2 linked regions of the Drosophila melanogaster genome follow. The protein of the gene in region 1 interacts with the protein of each later gene in a pairwise test. Each region holds a gene or a part of one and is shown in the gene's direction. Other genes may lie near its edges.

Region 1 (3,362 bases):
CTTGTAGCTGTATTAAAACGTGTTCACTTATTGATTAAATCATAGCCCATACAGTTAGTTATACGTTCTCAATTTTTGCCAATCTTGCGCTTCTGATTTCCAATGAAATAAAAGTGACTATTGTACGAATCACCCTAATATTTTTTCACAACTGGTATTTTTCTCCGTCCCGCAATCGGTAACACCATGCAGGGTGTCTGAGTTTCGAATCGGCATAAATTCGCCGGCAGCTGAGCAAGATGTATCCTGTGAGCTCGCAAAAGAGGTCCTGGACATTCGCCAATGAGGGCCAGCTCATGGAGTTCCGCGTGGAGCAGAACAGCAAGTACATCGAGTCGCACGAGGAGGAGGCGCAGGGTCGCGACCTCAATGAGCACTTTCTCACGTCGGCGGAGGAGCGCCTGTTGCTGAAGCAGTACGAGATCTACCTGTTCGATTTCTGCCGCCGCTTCGAACCGACGATGCCCAAGTGCGTTGTGGGCACGGCCTTCCACTACTTCAAGCGGTTCTATCTGAACAACTCCCCCATGGACTATCACCCCAAGGAGATTCTGTAGGAACGCTCACCTGAGAGCAGCAAACACCCAGCTGAAAAGCAAAACATTCTAAAAATGTATAAACCTTTTCAGAGCCACATGCGTGTTCGTTGCCTGCAAAGTTGAGGAGTTCAACGTGTCCATCAACCAGTTCGTAAACAACATCAAGGGCGACAGGAACAAGGCCACCGACATAGTGTTGTCCAATGAATTACTGCTGATTGGACAGCTCAACTACTACCTCACCATACACAATCCGTTCAGACCCATCGAGGGTTTCCTGATAGATATAAAAGTGCGATATATATTCACATTTGCTCTCCAGATTGTTTCGTTCATATTGGTTTGTTTCAGACTCGCAGCAATATGCAGAATCCAGATCGTCTGCGGCCACATATTGATAGTTTCATTGATTCCACGTACTACTCGGATGCCTGTCTTCTGCATACGCCTTCGCAAATTGCATTGGCTGCCGTCCTCCACGCGGCCAGCAGAGAGCAAGAGAATCTCGATAGCTATGTGACGGATCTTCTGTTTGTCTCCGCCAGGGAGAAGCTACCCGGACTCATAGATGCCGTGCGAAGTAAGTTTGTGCTGTGAGATGGTGCGCCCAGCCCTACATGCCTTTTTCCCGACAGAAATTCGCATAATGGTGAAGCAATATCAGCAGCCCGATCGGGAGAAGGTCAAGGCCATCGAGAAAAAGTTGGACAAGTGCCGAAATCAAGCCAATAATCCTGATAGCGAACTGTAAGACGCCCTAATTTGTTCATGCATTCCGAATTTAATAACCCTTATACTTTAAAAGCTATAAGGAGCGCCTACGCCGATTGTACACCGATGAGGATGACATGCCCGCCGAAGATGCCTCATTCCACATTGCAGATGTGAGCTCGGACACATCTGCTATGAACATCAGCCAATAGACTTAAGAATATTTATTTAAATGATGTGATGATCTACTACTGCGTGGATTTCATCGATATTAAAGCATTTTGTAATTTACCATTTCTTGATTGTTAAAATGTATGCGTTTAGTGTTAGTTTACTAAACAAAGTTGGATTAGGTACTTCACTTTTCCAATATATAAAATATTAAAAAAAAAACCTTTTGAAAATCCGCTTAGCGCTGCTTGGCAATATTTCGTTCGCAGCTAACGGCCACACTGCGCCCCAAGAAAAACAAGAATAGTGAACTCAGTCACAACAAATAGCAAAAAGAGTTCGAAATGCAGGATTTTCTGCCTTCGCTGGATGTTCTCTTTCTTGGACTACCAGGCCACTACTCGGTAGCGCTGGTCACCCTTCTGCTGTGCGTTTTGGTCGCCTTCTACTTCGCCAACATCTTCAAGGACAAAGGCGTGGGTGTTTTTGCCGGAAGAAGTAGACGTCTCCTGGAATATTTCCTTACATTATCTTGCAGGAACTGGAGGACGAGGGCCTGGGGGCCGACGAGCCGCGCGATGAGGAGGATTCCGAGTCACGGACTCCGCAAGGGGAGGAAACCGACGATGACGAGGCCTACGAAGAGAACTCCACCGAAAGCGAAGTTGAGCTAATCGAGGAACAGCTGCCCGAGCACAGCTACAACCACCTGATGGGCCAGCTCAAGGCCAAGAGGCTCCAGCATAAGATGGAGAAGACCCTGACTCCCAGCCAAATCGAGGAGGAGCGCCGAATAGAGCGCGAGCAGCTGGCGGCCATCTTTGAGCTCCTGCGCAAACAGGAGGCGGAATTGAACCTCCAGGACCGAATAAGCGACCAGGATCTCAAGCAGCAGGTGCGGCTCTATCGCTGAAGTGGCGCCGAGCCTGGGCTCACCCTACCTGAATGTACAGACTTGTGTGATCTATTAGTTTAATGTTTAAAATTCCAAGATTTGGTGTTGCCTCATACGGTCCACTAAGTGCGGGCAAGTCTTTAGTCAGAGAGCTATCTCATCAGTCGATGATGTCGGAATATAATATCTTAGTTGTATGTAAATTATATGTATTCCACTTCGATCTATGTATTTTGTGAGTTCCTGGTGTTATTAATATCTGATTTAGATTTGTAGTAAATGGCTGTTCGGCTCTTAGTCTCTTAAATCAGCTTTCGAATTAAGAATATATGTATATATTTTAACGTGTTACAAGATAAAAACTCGCGATCAGAAAGTGTATAGATTTAAACACAATTAATCGCCAAATTCGTTGGTTAGATTTAAATTGTGTTCATATAACTTTGGATTTATTTGTTCAATAAAGAATGTTTAGCTGTGTTAAGATGTAATATATACTCTAAATATTTCCTACCGTTTCCTAGCCAAATATCCGAAAATAACCGCTCATATTTTATATGCCGCGATTGGATTTTTGAAAATAATTGTTCTAACATATAGATTCCATCAGCACACCTTCGATTGGAGCAGTCGAAATGCTTAGCGTTTCTGTTCCAAATTTTTTAGTACTAAAATGTTTTTAAATTCACGTGGAGCAGATATTTTGTTGGAGTTCTAAATACGTTCGGTTTGGTTTGGTTGATGTTTAAACGTGTCGTTGTGGCGCCAATGCCCATGCATGTTTACTATCGCTTATCGATACACCGCGTACACGGCAACCGTGTGTGACCAATTCAAGCACGAAATCGTTGACCAACACTGATTGTACATCAGACGACACGACAACAAAAACAACAGCAACAACACCACCGACGTGCTTGTTCCTGTGTGTGTGTGCGTGTGAGATTGGAAGACAATGGCTGCAGCTGCGGATCTGGTTGTTCCTACCCTTGCCAGTGAGTATAGCCCGGATGCAATCCCCGCCAGGTGGTCACTGAGGTGCCGTC
Region 2 (3,591 bases), about 16 Mb from region 1:
CTCCAGTCGCACAACCAGTGGAACATTCAGTTGCAGCTTTTTGGATGCAGCCACAATGCCATTGGCAATGGTGGCACAATTGACAATGCCGCCAAAGACATTGACCAGGATTCCCTTGACTTTCGGGTCAGCAGTGAGGATCTCGAAGGCTTTGGCCACCTGATCCTCCCTGACGCCACCGCCGACGTCCAAAAAGTTGGCGGGCTCGCCTCCATTCAGCTTGATGATGTCCATGGTGGCCATGGCCAGGCCGGCACCATTAACCAAGCAGCCAATGTTGCCATCCATGGCGACGTAGTTCAGATTGTACTTGGCCGCCTCCACTTCTCGGGGATCGGATTCCTCCTCGGTGACGTCCATGGAGAAAATATCCTTCTGACGGAACTGGGCATTGTCGTCAAAGTTGAGCTTAGCATCAACGGAGATAACTTCTCCCTTATCCGTCTCCGCCAGCGGGTTGATCTCGATCTGTACGGCATCCACAGCTTTGAAGAGAGTATAGAGTTTTTGAATTTCCTCAGCACAACGCTTTACAGAGTCTCCCTTGAACTCCAAGAACTTGGCCACCTCCAAGAGCGTCGACTCCGGTATGGGCTTGCCAATGTCTAGCGGAACAGTCTTAATTTTCTCAGGGGTTTCCTCGGCCACCGCCTCGATATCCATGCCACCGGCAGGTGAGGCAATCAGCACGGGTCCATTGTGCTCGCGGTCCAGCAAGATGCAGAGATAGGTCTCGCGGGTGATGTTGATACTGCGTGCCACCATGACCTTGTTGACCAAAATTCCCGATTTGGGCGTTTGTTTCGTTATCAGTCGGTTTCCAATCATCTGCTGGGTAAGCGAAAGCACCTCGCTCTTGCTGGCAAAATGTTAAATAATTATTAGTATAAGCTGGTCTTATCACTTGTGTTTTTAAGGTACACTCTGGCTTTCACAAACTTTTATCATTTTCAATATGGGCAGAATGATAAGATTAATCTTATATACAAATGATATTGTAGAACATAAATAATATTAATTTTTTAGATAAAATGTGAATGTGAATAGCCGGAATAGACCTAATCTATAATACTTGGTGGTGATATGGACGCCGCCTTTGAATCCGTTGTCGAAAGTTCCCTTGCCACGCCCACCGGCGAGAATCTGCGCCTTCACCACGTATTCCGGGCACTCTGAAACACAGAAGCACAGCATTTAACACCAATTAGCCCAGGGATTACATAAACACCGGCATGGTTCCGTCCTCCACTTACCAAAAGTCTTGACGACCTCGGCATCTGCCTTGGAGTTATTCAAGACCTTGAATTGCTGTATGGCCACTCCATACTTCTGGAGGAGATCCTTGCTCTGGAACTCCAGCAGATTCAGGTTGCGCACGGGAACCTATCATCGAAAGATAAACAAAGCCAAGACAAAGGTCACTTCAACTTCTCTTTTCGAAGAGTTGATATATTATAGAGGAATGTGAGTGCGAGGAAACCTTATGAACGATGTGACGGGCTGTGGTAACTGCTTTCAGTAGGAACGACATCTTGGCTGATCTGCGGTGGTAACTGAATACCTTGGCTAACTTGGTATTAATTTATTTTCGTAACTTTGTCGGTAAATTTAGTTTAAAAACACAACCGAAAATCGCCGCCGTTCCACGATGCTTATCACTGCACAATGTGACCAAGAAGCACGACTACTTTCCATGGTGATAAAAATATACCAAATGCCACTGCCATCTTGAACTAGTTCTCGCGAAGCAATGGTCTTACTGTTGCAGTCAGCTGAAAATCAGCTGTCGTTGTGTACTTTTTTTCTTCGGCTAATAGTCAGCGAAGAATGACGAATAACACAAATTGAATGAAAAACCTGAGTGAGACGGAAGCCGAAGTCACCATGCAAGAAAATGTAGTCCACGAATCATTGCCCCAGATCCCGGTGGCCACTTCGGTGAGCTGTTGCTTCGTTCTGGCTGTTCTGTACGTGGGTAGCCTCTACATCTGGAGCACCAAACACAACCGGGATCATCCAACCACGGTCAAGAGAAGATTCGCCAGTGTGTCCATGGTGATGCTGGCAGCCCCGTTCTTCGTTTACTTCTTCTCATCGCCGGAGCTGCTCAGCCGGGTACCATTTCCCAAGCTGCTCGGTTTGCGCTTGGAGGGATTGTGGCAGGCTGTTGTTATACCATACAGCCTGACGGTGCTGCTCTTCCTGGGACCCATCTTTGTCAACATGCAGAACGAGTCCGTGCGCTCCTACTTCGGTAATAGTTAAAGCCCCTCTGCCTATCAGCCCCTTCTCACTGCTTGATTTGAATTGCAGATCTGGACTACTGGAGGGGATCATTTGGCAGCATCATCTGGGTGCGCAACCATGTGATAGCACCGCTGAGCGAGGAGTTCGTGTTCCGAGCCTGCATGATGCCCCTGATCCTGCAGAGCTTTTCGCCCCTGGTCGCCGTTTTCATAACGCCGCTTTTCTTCGGAGTAGCCCACTTGCATCACATAGCCGAACGCCTGAGCTTAGGCGTGGAGTTGAGCACTGCCCTATTGATTGGACTGTTCCAGTTCATCTACACCACGCTATTTGGCTTCTATTCGGCCTTTCTATTTGCCCGTACAGGTCATGTGATGGCTCCCATCTTGGTGCACGCGTTTTGCAATCATATGGGTCTGCCGGATCTGCAGGATCTGTGGCAGCAGGATCTCTGGCGACGAGTAGTGGCCATTATTCTCTACTTAGCTGGATTTGTTGGATGGATGTTCCTGGTACCACTGGCTACCGATCCGTCGATCTATGATAACACCCTTTACTGGAATGCATAATTAAGTTAATTTGTATGTATCAACCGCTGCCATACGTCGGTTCATTCATGTGTACATAAATATTCGTGCATATATTATGTTTATATGTAAATTGCATATCCCATTCGAGCCAATTCCGCGCACAAAAAAAAGACTTCCGATGAAAAAGAAAAAAGAAAGTACAGATAAATGTATACCTAATAGTAAGTCAGTTGTACTGTTTTGTTGTTCGAGAGTACTTTTATTACAACTACTTTTGTTTGCATTTGTTTATTAAACAATTTCTTAACATTTATAAATATTATTTATTATTATTATTAAGAAAGAAATATGAATTCAAATTTAGGCGGTATTATTGGTTCCGCGCAATCACTAGTTCCAACATATCGGTATTGGGCAGCTGGTCACACTGCCACTCAGACCCACATAGGCTTATCGATAGGGCCCGATAGGCCCAGACAAGTAAATTTTGGTAAATATGTGATGATTTAAAACGACGCACAACAAGCGAGCATCTAAACGACCCGAAAATCGAGAGGTCAGCGCCAGGAGGCCCAATCGGAGGTAATCCCGCAGAGCGGCGACCCGTGCTAGAACTGGGAAAACAGATCCGCGTTCTGGTGACGTTTGTGGTCTTTGCCCAGGACTACGAATGATAGTAATTATAGAACAATTAAGACTAACCTCAACCCCCCGGGGTCATCCTGGGACACTTGCAGGCCGCGCGGAAGACCACGTCAACGCACACGCAAATAGAACCCAAATCTTAAGCAGAAATAGCAACAACAACACAACC

Evidence for each region.
Region 2: the proteins of CG7407 (region 1) and Sras interact in a two-hybrid assay, tested with the Drosophila melanogaster proteins (one large-scale study listed by BioGRID).

Annotation. Positions count from the first base shown.
Region 1 is NT_037436.4:21,821,767-21,825,128, forward strand, and holds CG7407 (uncharacterized protein), read left to right. Parts: upstream 1-1,694; 5' UTR 1,695-1,765; coding exon 1,766-1,897; intron 1,898-1,959; coding exon 1,960-2,334; 3' UTR 2,335-2,805; downstream 2,806-3,362. Other genes in the region: CycH (cyclin H), read left to right, coding at 240-553, 630-831, 891-1,119, 1,175-1,286, 1,345-1,462; eIF2A (eukaryotic translation initiation factor 2A), read left to right, coding at 3,272-3,311.
Region 2 is NT_037436.4:5,562,013-5,565,603, forward strand, and holds Sras (severas), read left to right. Parts: upstream 1-1,761; 5' UTR 1,762-1,848; coding exon 1,849-2,254; intron 2,255-2,313; coding exon 2,314-2,816; 3' UTR 2,817-3,091; downstream 3,092-3,591. Other genes in the region: ScsbetaG (Succinyl-coenzyme A synthetase beta subunit, GDP-forming), read right to left, coding at 1-859, 1,073-1,172, 1,254-1,383, 1,481-1,531.